Danio rerio: one gene and its partners. The protein of the gene in region 3 interacts with the protein of the main gene of each other region in a biochemical or structural test. Links are inferred from orthologs where the notes say so. Each region holds a gene or a part of one and is shown on either strand. Other genes may lie near its edges.

Region 1 (5,019 bases), on a different chromosome or scaffold from region 3:
TATGTTTGTAGCTGTTTTTGCCTTCTTGAATTCTATTATAATGATATTTTTTATTGCAAAGCCATGACAGTATAATCATGCATTCCTGAATGTTGCTGGTTTTCCCTGAGCTGCTTGTTTTGATTTTCCCAAGCAATGTCTCTCTCTCTCTCTCTCACACACACACACACACACACACACACACACACACACACAATTTCATATAGAAGGCAGAAATTACGCTTTTTTTGCACTGCAACTGATGATCAACAATAAAAATGACACATTTTATCTCTTCCCAACAGGGAAAAAAAAACAGCAATGATTAAGAAGGCATGATTATATGGTGCAATTAAAAATGTCATTAAAATGAAAGTCAATGGGGCAAAAACAGCCACCATCATAATGAATCTGTAGAAATTTTGCTCAAAGTGTATTGTTGAATTTTTGAAATTTCCCAAAGCATTTTTTCAAAATATGTCAAAATAAGATTTCTAACCAAAAATCATTTCATTTGCTGAGATACAGAGAAAGTTGCGGCCAAATTAAGACACAAAATCATCCCAGAGCAGATGAAAACATCCCCAACAGCACACAAGGGTTAATCTACTATTGGTGTCCTAAACCTTTTTATTAAATTGTTGAGAGAAAATGACATGCCTTAGTGCAGTGGTCACCAAACTTGTTACTGGAGGGCCGGTGTCCTGCAGATTTCAGCTACAACCCAAATCAAACACACCTGAACAAGCTAATCAAGGTCTTGCTAGGTATACTTGAAACATCCAGGCAGGTTTGTTGAGGCAAGTTGGAGCTAAACCCTGCAGGGATACCAGCCCTCCAGGACCGAGATTGGTGACCCCTGCATTCCAGAGTTTATCATCAGAGACAGTGACCCAACTTGGAGCAAGTCACATGCTTTGTCTATCTGTGCTTTAATTAAAGAATGTCATCATAGCTTTATATAAACGATGTAACAAAGTTGACCAGAACGTAGGGACAGACCATGGGCCCGTCTTCGTACCTCGCTTAAATGATCTTGGATGATTTGTCACTTTTAATCATGATACCTGATCTCTGGCTGATTTGGTTCTTCAAACAACTTCACGAAACATTAAAATGTCTGGATTAACTGATCGGAGATCGGTACACTTGTTGTGATGGACTGATCTATCGATCCTCAAAATCATGACCAACGATTGGCTTATGGCACAGCACCATAATGACATCATCTGAGTAATATTCAATTATCCATGTGAGAAAAATTGCATAAACTTCGTAATAAATGGTTTGATAAATATGATAGGCAATAGCTATACGCTTTTGTTGTTGGTTGTAGGTTTTGAACTTTGAATGTAAAACTAAATAAATTGCTAAATACTCTTAACTCAGAGCTAATTTTCTTTATTATAGTATAATAGAATTTAAGTTTCTCAATTGGTGTAAAGAATTTAAATTAATTTTGCATCAAGCATTTTGATTTCGGGTGTCTGCAACTTTTACGAAGCATCAAATCACCATCATATTATCTGTCAAAACGTGCATGACTGCATACATTATTATTTCTTAAAATAAAAAAAAATTAACTAAAAATTTTTTTATAAAATAAACAGTTGAATGATGTGCATGTCTATTAATATACACAAAGCTGGGTCGGTACATTAAAATAGTATTGGTTTATATCTAAAAAGTCCATATTAATAAATGCTCTTTTTGAACCCCTTGGGAAGAACCACACCTTTTTTGTACATATATTTTGGAGTGCAAATAAGTTTTATTTCTATATTTTATTAAACTTGTATGTATACAAGCATAAATATTATTAATTACTTAATATTAAATTTTATTAATTGTTATAAATGTATATATATATATATATATATATATATATAGAGAGAGAGAGAGAGAGAGAGAGAGAGAGAGAGAGAGAGAGAGAGAGAGAGAGAGAGAGAGAGAGAGAGAGAGAGAGACAATAACAAGCTGCGAATAAGAAGCTGGATTCAGAACAGCTTCTGCTGTTCTGACGTCAGCTGCAGATGTAAATAAATGGTGGAAGATAGTAGTTCCTAATACAATAGGGTTTTAGACTCTCTGTGTTTGATTTTCTTTTTTATGTACAAGATTGTGCCATCAAACTGTTGTATAAACGCATTATCACACTAGTAGCAGTGTGCTATGGCTGTATATCAGCACTGGTGGGGCACAAAGCACGCCTCCCACCAGTGCTGATATTGACCTTATTCTAAAATGCAGAAGTGCGCCTGTTATCGCGATTGTCTTAGAACTTCCGATTCAGTCGCCTATGGGAGAAATGACTAGGAATAATAAACAGCAGAAAATGGTCAAACTACTTGCTCTACAAACAAATATTTGCATGACTATACAGACCAAATAGAATAATATAATAAAAAAAATCTAATTGCAACATCTAGCAGCATAACGAGCAGTTTTTAACGTTAAAAAAATAAATGGAAGTGAATGAGACCGGAAGTCTAGAGCCAAAAAGATTCAAATGGCAGCACCCACTCGTCGGCGGAGAATAAGGTGAATACAGCCATAGCACACTGGTACTAGTGTGATATTTCTCACATATACACACACACACACACACACACACACATGTATAAAACTTTTTTTCTTATTTTACTTATTTCCCAAGTTTATATAACCTATAGGTTACTACTGTAAGAAAACGTCAATTATACCTGCAATTGTAGAATGACCATTATAAATTTCAAATGGACGTGTATAAAGTACACAACAGTGTTTTCACTAGGATTTTTTTACAGCTGTGGTGGCAGGCCTTTTTTTTTTTTTTTTTTTTACACAGATCTGCTAACTACCTGTTGCGTTATTTCAATGACAAATGTCGTGAGCGCAGTATTACAAGTTGAGATCGGATTTATGTAATAGCCTACGAGCATGTGAAACTCTTTGCTTGCGCGCCGATTTCCTCTGCTAGTGCACAAAACTTCTTGCACATCCTTAAATATACGCTGCTCAAGCGCAGATCTTCTTGTGCGCGCTCAAATAAATGCTGCTGGGTGCGATTTAGTGCGTTTATGTAACGAGTATGTCTCCAACATTTATTAGATTTGCTAGGAATATTATTGAATGTCTCCAATAGACCTACAGAGCGGTATTAATGCGCCCTGAAGTAAAGTTAAACTAGTATACGTTGTAATTGCTGGCCTCACGCATCTGTCAGTCAGCACATAACCTTAAAGGGTTAAACAAATAACGCACAGTACTACTACGGTTACAGAAAAGTTTGCCCCGTTATAATTCACTTACCTTTTAATACGTTTTGGTACGATTATCACCCGCTATTAAAAAAAACAGAACTGAATAATATGAATAAAAAGTTGTAATGTAGCCATGGCGGGATCAATTTTGGTGTGGCGGAAACCATGAACAAGTTTTAAAAAAAGACAGAACTGTACCAACTGTTAAAGAGATAGTATTTTCTATACAGTGAGCTGGAATACTGAATCACATCCAAAATAATAATAATAATAATAGCATTGCTTTTGTTAGCTTTACCTGTTCCCTGGTTGGGACACTTGGTTAGAACCTCAGGAGCCCTAAACCCAGGGGTACCAGCCCTCGGAGCCACCTGCTGTTTCCTGTGAAAAAAATAACCACACTATTAAATTAAAACCATCAAATAGAATGTTTTTATTGAGAAATGCAAAAAAAAAAAAATTCCTGAAAAGGCTGATGTAGCTTATTAAACACTCAAAATGTAACTAATCACTAGTCACTATCACTAGTTCACTATTAACAATAAATCTGATAGCAGTTCATGACAAATGTGGGTGTTTTTAGAATTGGGCTAAAACAGAGTATAGATGCATGTAGTAGACTGTGTAGTGTTGATCTTTCTTTTTTCTTCACCGTAGACATGCCACAGTAGGCTTTTTAAGGTTTGGATTGATGTATAGATGACGAGTGTGTACCTGGACAGGCAGATGTTGCAGACGCGGTCAGTCATGTAGCAGTTGCAGGTGAGTAGGGGGTTGACGGCAGCAGGTTTAGGTTTCTGACTCTCAGCCGGAAGTTTCTGTTTCTGATTTAATGGTGCTCTGACAGGGACGGAGCGATGTTTGGCAGAAACAATCTTGCGTGGAATTACTTCCTCCTTTTTGGGCTTTGAAAGCAATCCCTAAAACACAATGTGACAGGTGAAGAGCTGATAGTTATTCAGACGGCATCGCATGCAACCAGTGTGAGAAGAGACAGAGCTAACCTCAACTTTGTCAGAGCCTGGTTTATGAGAGTTTGTGCTGTTTATGCTTTTCTCCCCAAATACAGACCGTGGTGCTTTATCAAGTCCCATCAGTTCCTTTGAGAGGAAGGACACATATTTTTGACATGAATACGAAATGAATCAATATAGGCCTGGAAGTGCAGTGCTCCCCAGTTTGACTGATTATCACTTAAAATATGATTTATTCATTAAATAAAGTGCAGACACCTTGCTGTGTTTAACGCGTGAGGGTGGGCAGGGTCTTTTAGCCGGTGCTTTAGTGCTGGACTGGACAGCAGGGTTTCTGCTGTTGGGTGGTAAAGGCACCAGTTTCTGTTTTCCCAGTGATTCCTCCACCATCTTAGATGACCCACCACCTTTATGACCTTTTGATTTGACCACCTTCAGCAGTTCGATCTGGGTGTCAGGAGTGCCCTGAGCCAGGCCAAAATCCACCAGCGCATACCTGAGGGAAAAAAAAGAAAAGAAATCAGCATGTATCAGGATTTTTGGACTTCAAGATAACAGTCAAAGAGCCTCCGACTTAATTTGTTCATGTGCAATAAAGTACCGCACATACCCAATGTCAGTTTAGTGTTCAACATTCAGCACGGGTTATTAAAGGTGGATTAGGTGTGAACAACATTTAAAACCATTTTGCTCTTATTTAAAGCCTTAAAGGGTTAGTTCAAAAAAAGTGAAAATTCTGTCATTTGAGCTAATGAACAGCAGTCGTTCCCAATTCCAGTCCTTGGGACCACCCGCCCTGCACATTTTGTATAGGCAGTGCTCTA
Region 2 (5,019 bases), on a different chromosome or scaffold from region 3:
TCTAACTTTTATGACAGTTTTTTAAGGGAACATTGGGTTGGACCACTGTGATCTACATTTCAAACAGTGTAGCCTACTGGCTTTGCAGAGAACAAGCGGTAGGCAAAATATCAGTGGCCACAAAAAGTCATTGTTTTAAAGGAGTGTTTTTTTTTAGCTTGTTCTAATACATTCAATATTGTTTTGTCGTTGTCATATCTCATTAGATGTGACATGCTTCATAAAGGTTTCAAATATGAAAGAATTTATATATCATTAGTAACCATTAAGTATGTGACAACTTAAAAAAAAAAAAAAAAAAAAAAAAACATTTAGGTTCAAAAACTAAATCCACACTTCAGATAGGATGAGGATTATCACGTTTTTTTTTTTTTTTTATCAAATAGATCCCAATCTAAGTTTAAAGTTTTGAATAACCCAAAGGGCAGGTTTTATCCAAATCAAATGTAAGATTTCAATACATGATCTGATCTTAATTAAAAATCCCACTGTTACTTTAAAAAACCCATTTCCAAATCTTGATCCAATCTGTGATCCAAAATCCCACTGGACTGCTTTTGAAAAAGTGGGCACAGATTATTTAACTGATGCGATTGATTCAGTGTGACTAATAAACGCACAACTATAGAATCATCTCACAGCAAGATTCATTTCAAACACTGAAGTTATTGCGAGTTTGGAGTTAAACCATGTTATTATTTGTTGCATGTTATTATATGTTACTTTTATTATTTACTAAACAGAGCTATAGTTCACTGAGAAGCAACTCAACAGCTGTTAATATTACAGAACAATGATTTTAATGTCATTATCGACCAAGCAAATCAAATAAATTTTTTTACAAATTTTTGTGTAGCTTCTCAGTGTACTACAGCTGTGTGTAGTAGATGCCGCTCCATCTGATGAATAGAAGTTTTACTAGAACCGTCTTCACTGAAAAAATGCACATAAAAATCCTCTTTGATTAATTTGCCAGCCCTAGGGTTAGAAGAAGAAACATATAATGCATAATAGAATAATTACTGATCACGTGACACTGAAAATTGGCAAAATGGCTGCTGAAAACTCAGCTTCTTTCCTTGCAGCAGACGCCCTTCCAGCTGCAACCCATCACTGGGAAACATCCATACACGTTCATTCACAGACATACACTACGGACAATTTAGCTTACCCAATTCACCTATAGTGCATGTCTTTGGACTTTTGGGGTGGAAACCGGAGCACCCGGAGGAAACCCATGCAAACACGGGGAGAACATGCAAACTCCACACAGAAATGCCAACTGTCCCAGCCGAGGCTCGAAACAGCAACCTTCTTGCTGTGAGGTGATTGTGCTACACACTGTGCTGCTTGCAGTATTAATATTTCACATTATATTTTTAATAAATGGTAAGCATAACTCTTTCAACAATAAAAACATGAAAAAATCTCAATTTTCAGGCCATCACACCTGTGTTTCCTGGTGCCGGCACAGCTGTGGCTGGTGTCGCTGTTTCAGTTTCTCTCTCAGCCTGTCCGTCTTGTGCAGCTGTGTCCACATCTGCATCCTCATCCATTTCACGTGTCCTCTCTTCTCCTCTTCTCTCCTTCAGCCTCTCTTTCTCCGAGATGCCTCCGGTTCCTCTCACTGCCACACATTCATCTTGAATGAGGAGCTCTGCTTCTCCTCCTGCACGCTCTCCATCTCCCCTTTCGCTTCCTGATCCAGAGTCACACGACAGGAATTCGTCTTCAGAGGGGCTTCGGTCTCCGTCCACAAGATTACAGCTGTCCAGACTGAGGTCAGGCTCGACTTCAGAGATGCCACCGCTGCAGTCAAACAAAGGCTCCTTCAGCTCCTCGTGAAGCTGGTCCATCAGACATCGCAAAAACTCCTGAGTGTCCTAGAAACAGGCAAGAAACAAAATGTCAATGAGGTTTATATTATTTCTTTGAAAATAATAGTCTTTAAAAAATGCACAGTAGACATCATATGAGTGTTATTACTGTTTAACAAAACTATTCAAAATCAATGTTGTCTGGCACCGGTAGCCTTGTGGGTGGTATGCTGACATGTAGCACCACTGCATTCTGGGCAATTAAAGTTCGAATTAAAGCTTGCAGACTTTTCCTGATAACCCTCACTCCCAAATACTCTAGCTTGTCTCACAAATCTCCTTTAACAATACAGGTAAAAATGTTTTTCAAATATATAAATAAAAGAAATAAATCTTTGAATAAAATACACTCACTGGCCACTTTATTGGGGTACACCTGTCCAACTGCTCATTAGCACAAATGTCTAATCAGTCGATCACATGACAGCAACTCACTGCATTTAGACATTTAGACGTGGTCAATACAATTTGCTGCAGTTCAAAATGAGCATCAGAATGGGGAAGAAAGGTGTTTTAAGGTATTTTGACATGGTTGATGATGCCAGAATTTGGCGTCAACAACATGAAAGCATTGATCAATCCTGCCTTGTATCAACGGTTCAGGCTGGTGGTAGTAGTGTAATGGTGCAGGGGATATTTTCTTGGCACACTTTGGGTCCATTAGTACCAATTGAAAATTGTGTCAACGCCACAGACAGCCTACCAGTGTATTGTTGCTGACCATGTCCATCCCTTTATGACCACACCTTTATGACCACATCCATCTTCTGAAGTCTACTTCCAGCAGGATAACATGCCATGTCATAAAGTGCGAATCATCGCAGAGTGGTTTCTTAAACCTGACAATGAGTTTACTGTACTCAAATGGCCTCCACAGTCACCAGAACTTCAATAGAGCACCTTTGGGATGTGGTGGAACAGGAGATTCACATCATGGATGTGCAGCTGAAAAATGCAGCAACTGCAACTGCATGATGCTATCATGTCAATATGGAGCAAAATCTGTGAGGAATATTTCCAGTTCCAAGTTGAATCTATGCCACGATAAAGATAAGATAAAGACAGTTGTGACGGCAAAAGGTGGTCCAATCTGGTACTATTAAAGTGTACCTAATTAAGTGGCTGGTGAGTGCATAACTTACTGATAAATAAAAAATCAAATAGCACTAAAATACTGAAATAAAAGAGATCTAAATCTAAAATTTTTTAAGCCTAAATAAAAGACCTGACAGAATTGCAAATAATATAACATACTATAATATTACCATAATATAACAGAAAAAAAACATTAAAATAAAAATGAAATAAATAAACACTACACACTATAGTGGAATTTAAATAAAACACACTACACACTATAGTGGAATTTAAATAAAACACACTAGGGCTACTACAATGTATTGTTTCAGATTGTTTTCAGATTGCACATCCACTATTGGCAGAATGTGCAGTGTCATGTAGGGATTATCAATGACTTGAAAACATGAAGTGGTCTACATATATCAATGGTCTTATATATATATATCATCATTATATTATATATATATCATATATATGATATATATATATATATATATATCAAAAATATATATCAAAAATGCTAAATATTGCTATGTATTTTTTCCAATATTGTGAAGCCCTAGAATACACCACAGTGCTTCCCACGGGTTTGAAATATATTTGCGGTGCTAGCTGGATTGAAACACACCTTTTACCCACATCAGATAAATAGTTAACTATATGCAACAAACATAACAATTTAATTGTTAACAATAATTAAATTTATTAAGAAACAGTTTCCTTACAATGGGTTAAGGTACAAAAAAAAAAAAAAAAAAAAGAAATTCACTATTTCTTTTAATTTTAGGCTATTCAGGAGCCATGTACACCCACTGACAGATAAAATCTGCTTTACTCTATCTCACAATTAAGTTCAGTTTGCTTTATTGGCATCAAATTAATAAAATATAAAACAAATTAGAAATAAATGACAGAAAAAAGGAATAAAAGTAGACAATATCTCAAAAAAATATAATAATTACAAGAATAAAACATCTAGATAATTTAAATAGGGCAAAATAATTGATTACCCATACTAATAATGTACATATATTTTTCAGCTAATTTAGAACTCATAATTTCTTTCAATTCCTTTCCTCTCTGAGTATATAGAATTAAAAAATAATTATTTAATGTTTCTCTCACTCTCTGTGTGCATAATTGATGACAGCTTTAGAAAGCGAAAGCAAAAGTCAAATCCCGGTAATTTCAGATTTAGAAACCCCAGTCTGACAAAAAAAGCGCATCTCTGTGGGTGTTTATAGAATGTGAAACTGTCTGTGAAAGGGTCGACAGGTCTTAACCACACAGATCGAGCATGAAACGGGTAAACGAGAGAAGATTTTCCACTACTTAATCGATTGTAGATGTTTCGTTCTATTGGGCGGATACAAAAAAAAATTAACATACTTGAGCGGTAAGCTCAATAAAAGTTTACCTGTGGGAAGCACTGCATGAAATAGTAGTATACAGACTTTACTAAAATAACACTGCTTTATACCTGTTGAGCATAGCCACGAAACATGGGGTTCACCAGTTTGATTCCATGAAACAGAGTAGTTGGCACAACATAACTCGGCCTGGACAGAGGGCCAAAGAAAGCACAAAAGAGAGAAAAAGAAAGGCCATAGGCAACAATATGGATACTTAATTATGACCAAAATCAATAGATTAAGTTCAACAGAACAGGCCAGATCTACGTTAACGGTCTGGCAAGTCAGTGCTTGTTACCGTTTCTTGTGCCAGAGTTCAGAGATAAGCTTCTGATAGCTTTTACACAATGCCGGCTTCTTATCCGTACGCACCAATCCACTGCAATCCTGGAAAAACTGAGTCAAAGGAGGACTGGGAAATGAATATAAAGAAGCAGGAAACCCAAAGTCAGTTAAAGAGCTGGACGCGCAGACCTGAGAAATCAATCAGTGCAATCAGTCACTCAACAAATCTGTGTCAGGATTTTAAGCCTACCAGTTGGACAAGGCCTGCAGTGCAGCATTCATATAACAAGAGTTTCCAATGTTTTTCATCCCTGTCAGACCTGGGAAGGGTAAAGAGTATTAGAAAATAACACAATGAAGCTTAC
Region 3 (5,019 bases):
ATAAACTAAAAAGATGCATGTTAAAGGCATGGCTAACCAACAGGGGGGTAATGACACTTATGTAGAGTTCACACCAAACAGGGAGTTAAGTAGGTTTAAATTGCATAGAAGTCAATACAAACGCGAGAACAGAGGTGGATTACTGTCCAACGAATGTGCAGAATTCACTTCAGTCACGTTTTTTTGTGTTTGGCCTTAACTCAACCGTATTGGCCACTCAGAAAAGAGAAAGACGTCGTAAGGTGAAAACTACGGTTGTAGTGTCCACACGGGTACGCACTACCCAGAGTATTAGAAAATTTCCCTCCTGGCCAACGTTCCCAACAGGGAAATCCAGCAACAATCAAGAATGCATGATTATATGCTGTCATGGTTTTCTAATCTAATGGAAGTCAATGAGGCAAAAACCAACAATAACAAATATGAGCATGCATGTACACAAGGGTTCAACCAAAGGGTTACCAAAGACAACTGTGGGAAAGAAAAACTGCTACGAGTGTAATATTGTGTTTATACAACAGCTCGATGGCACAGTCGTCTATATAAATAAGAAAATCAAACGGAGAGTCTAAAACCCCTTTTTATTAGGAACTACTTTCTTCCGCCATTCATTCACATCTGCAGCTGAGGTCAGAACAGCAGAAGCCGTTACTAATTCACCAACGTCACTTTAGAGCTAGTATTTGAATGATTCTCTAGCGTAATGTCTAAAGTGATGACAAAACTGCTGATTTTGCTCACACTTTAAGATTATAAGGCTGAACATGACATGGAGTGCCATCAGTCTATAGAGATATCTTCTTACAGTGTTACAGTCTACAGCAGGGGTGTCCAAACTTTTTTGGCCGAGGGGCAGATGCAAAAAAAAACAAAAAAAAAAACGTCCCGGGCCAAATTTTACATACATCACACAGACACGCATATATATATATATATGTGTGTGTGTGTGTGTTAATTATTTCAACTGTGTTTCTAGAAAGACTTACGTTTTTAAAATCTTGAATCTTCTCTAGGCAAATTACAGTTGCAACACTCATCAGACACTCCTATATAAACTCCTTCAGTGAAGGCTTTCCTGTGCATAACTACCCAGCATAGAATTTTCTTGCACTTTATTAGCATTAAAAAACTGCTGTTGAGCTGAAGGGGCAGCTGCTAACTGTTTTACTTTTTGATCTTGTTCGGCACCAGTGTAAAAGCTGAAGGCCTGATGCTTTGTTTCATAATGTCTTTTAATATTATATTCCTTCATTACTGCAACTGATTCCTGGCAAATTAAACAGATACATTTCCCGCTGACCTCTGTGAAGAAATATTCTTTGCCCCAACGTGACTAAAATGTCCTGCTTTCACTGTTGATTTTCCTTTTTCTTGGTTGTATTATGGCTCGCCAGAACGTGACTATCAATTATGTTTCCTTCAGTTTGTTCGGTTTCTTTTGCTTCATTACGGGAACTGCTGCCTAATTGAAGGCGTGTCATAGCGACACCCGGTGGTTATTTATTGAATTATGTTCATTTTTGTATATCGAGCCAGATTCTATTAATATTTATAAAAAGCCTCGCGGGCCGCCACAAAACTGATTGCGGGCCGCAGATGGCCCACGGGCCATAGTTTGGACACCCCTGGTCTACAGTATTTCTCTGTTGCAATTGGAATATTGCAGTAGTTAACCCTGAAAAAAGCAACGCAATCACTCCCAGACTGCTGCTGTGAGGAAAAGGCTTTGCTTATTTCAATCTGCCAACACAACACACATTCCTGATATGCGAGCAAATCAGTATAAATACAGCGCTACAGCATATAAAAGAGAGAGATCGACCAACATACCTGCTAACATGACTGAAAATCCGGGGGTAGGGGGTGTTCGGGGGTCATGTCTCTGACAAAAATCGGGTATGTTTGTGGGAGACTGGTCTGAAATACGGGACACTGGCAGGTGTGCTTACCAGTTTAATATTGATTTTGATCTGCTGTAGTTAAAAATCAGACTGTTATAATCTTATAAGTGTAAGGGCTTATTATGTGGTTCTGTCGCCATCTTGTGGATAGAAAATGTCAACCGTGTTTGGTCTACTCTATGGCAGGCTAATGGCTGCCGACGAGCTCTCTCAGAAATTGTAAATATCTTAAAATAGGCACTATTCTTACAAATAAACTGCATAGTTGCAATCTAAACAAGGTGAAGGATGAAGAGGTCTGTGAGTGATGTTACTGGCAAAATATCGCACTGCTATCAGCCAATCAAATTTATAAAAAGAAAATTATATATATATATATATATATATATATATATATATATATATATATATATATATATATATATATATATATATATACAGGGCTCGAAATTAACTTTTTTACTTGGTAGCACCGGTGCTCCCAACTTCAAATATTTAGGAGCACCAAAAATTTTTTAGGAGCACCAGAAAAAAATTTAGGAGCATCCACCAAAAATGAATGAGCACAGCTGCAAATTGTTTTTTAAGGGATTTATTGTATTTTAAAACAATATTAATAGGACTAACAAAAACCAGAAACAACTATCTAACTAAAGCTGCGAAGACATTGATATTTGTGTGCAATAATTCCAAAATGAATGTCTAATAATTAGGCCATAGAATATTAATGATGATGAAAATGACAATAATAGTAACAATGAATTCCATTTCTCATTATGATGCTGCCTTGAATGTGCATGAATGTAGGTTATCTGCTATTAAAAGTCTGTTACTTTATGAAAAATAATTGTATAGTTTGCATCAAACAAAAATGAAGCATTGCAGTAAGAAATATTTATTTTGTACTGCTGTTTTTATATGCATGTCAATTTAATAAATAATATTTCTGATACAAAACAAACAAAAGATTATAATAAATCATTCAATTCAATGATGAAAGCTGTAAAGCAGTCATCAGTAAATAAATAAAAAAATAATATACAACTCAAAAAAGAATAGACAAAAGAAAGTAAGTAAAGTCTCACTTCTATCACTCTTTAAAAGTTTTGGTTTCAGTTTGTGTCAATTTAAAGGTTCAGTCTGAGCTGATCTTCATTTTTCTGTGTTTGTGGAAAGCTGGCGAGTCAGCCGACCCAATTAATAAGTAGGCAGCGCAAGATTATTGCGCTAACCATCGGCGCAAATCCGGTCTTTGTTATGAGCCGCAGTTTCAGTGTAAACTTAGTAAAGGCGAGCTTCTTTGGCGATGATATGTGCAGTATTAGATTTGACTTTTAGCGGACATTTGCGCTGAACACGCAGTGAATGCGACGCATGGAGATTCGGGCGCCTTCTCCAAGAAGCGCGTACTCGATTGATCTCAGCTGGCGGATCATTATTCACCACGTGACGTGTCATGATCGCTTTCATCTGCGCCTCAACTTTAGGTGGGGTTTTCAAACTTGTGTGCTTTAAGTTTTTACTCTTCAGCCGTTTGCATTTCCTGTGGTCATAAAAGCTCCTTCCCTGTCATCTGACAGCGGAATACCTTGAGTGAATGACAGCTAATATGAACCAATATAGCGGCAGGGAAGAGCGATTCAGCACGTTTTTAGAAAGAACCAAAACAGGTCGCACTACAACCATTATCTGCAGTCGCACTAATGCTCCCAGATATATTATGAGGTCGCATAGATTAATTTTCGGGCGCATATGCGACCAAAATGGTCGCAATTTCGAGCCCTGTATATATATATATATATATATATATATATATATATATATATATATATATATATATGTGTGTGTGTGTGTGTGTGTGTGTGTGTGTGTGTGTGTGTGTGTGTGTGTGTGTGTATATATATATATATATGTGTGTGTGTGTGTGTGTGTGTGTGTGTGTGTATATATATATATATATATATATAATTATATAATGTAATTATGTAATATAATTTAGATTTTATATATAAATATATTAAGAATAAATATATAATATATATTTAAATACCTTCAACAAATAAATCTCTTTTGGTTATTTTGGTCACAGTCTGCTTGTGTTTTGAGCAGATGAAAACTTTGACTTCGGTGGATTGGGTCCTGATGGAGACGAGGAGGAGGATGATGAAGAAGTAGATCAGATCGAGTTACAGAGACGGAAAGAGCGTCTGGAGAGGGAGCAGTGGATTAGAGAACAGGTGTGTGTTTGTGTGCGTTTTAATGCTGTCTTTTGTGTTTGTGATTGTGTGTATCTTGTCTGACATGATGCTATTCTGTAGACTGAAGCTCGCGGCAAAAAGGGAGAAGAAGCAGAGGATGAAGAAAAGATTGGAGAAGAGGACAGTCAGTTCATGAAGCTAGCCATGAAGCTAACAGCTAAGACCCTTCAGAAGAAAGGTACAGGCATACATTTCTGCTGAAAGAGTAAATAAAACATTTCAGAATCAGTTTTTGTTCAAGCAAGAGTAATTATTAAAAGTTATTTTAGATGCTTTAGTAGGTATGAAGCAACTGTAGGTGTCAAAAATACTAATAATAAAATTATTTATGAAGTTATATTAGTAAAGATCTTTTGTTGAAATAAATAAATGCAAACTAATTCAACTTCATGTGTATATTTGTATTTTTAGGTGCTGTTTAACTTTATTTTATACAATACATGCTATTATATTTATGTAAAGTAAGTATAAGTAAAACTTGCTGAGGTCAATATTATTAGACTTTATATTGAAGCTTTATTGTATTTATTTATTTAACTGAACAACCCCTTCCCCAACAGTTTAACCACTTACAGATGAAGGAATAAAAGCATAATATAAAAATCAAAAATAAAACTATAAAATATTGTCATGATCATCATTTCTGTAATTGTTTTCTTTATTTTTATCATGTATCTCCAGAAAGATTATCAACAATGTTACAGAAAAATCATAATTAGAAATCATAAAAAATCATATCATTTATTTGTTGTATCTTAATGAAACATGACGTTGTTTTTAGAGTTATGTAATATTTTTATTTACACTACCTGATAAAAGTCTTGTCTTGATCTCAGTTGTAAGAGGAACACATAATATCT

Evidence for each region.
Region 1: of the proteins of clspn (region 3) and cdc7, one has a biochemical effect on the other in vitro, tested with the Homo sapiens proteins (3 studies listed by BioGRID, with this or other methods). The link is inferred for Danio rerio from reciprocal best matches to the Homo sapiens genes CLSPN and CDC7.
Region 2: of the proteins of clspn (region 3) and usp20, one has a biochemical effect on the other in vitro, tested with the Homo sapiens proteins (2 studies listed by BioGRID, with this or other methods). The link is inferred for Danio rerio from reciprocal best matches to the Homo sapiens genes CLSPN and USP20.

What each region holds. Positions count from the first base shown.
Region 1 is NC_133177.1:11,292,352-11,297,370, forward strand, and holds part of cdc7 (cell division cycle 7-related protein kinase), read right to left. Parts: intron 4,692-5,019; coding exon 4,454-4,691; intron 4,322-4,453; coding exon 4,226-4,321; intron 4,142-4,225; coding exon 3,936-4,141; intron 3,603-3,935; coding exon 3,520-3,602; intron 1-3,519. UniProt on the Homo sapiens protein: Kinase involved in initiation of DNA replication. Phosphorylates critical substrates that regulate the G1/S phase transition and initiation of DNA replication, such as MCM proteins and CLASPIN.
Region 2 is NC_133180.1:33,925,714-33,930,732, reverse strand, and holds part of usp20 (ubiquitin carboxyl-terminal hydrolase 20), read right to left. Parts: intron 4,975-5,019; coding exon 4,905-4,974; intron 4,782-4,904; coding exon 4,668-4,781; intron 4,517-4,667; coding exon 4,438-4,516; intron 1,884-4,437; coding exon 1,451-1,883; intron 1-1,450.
Region 3 is NC_133194.1:50,542,229-50,547,247, reverse strand, and holds part of clspn (claspin), read left to right. Parts: intron 1-4,010; coding exon 4,011-4,138; intron 4,139-4,219; coding exon 4,220-4,337; intron 4,338-5,019.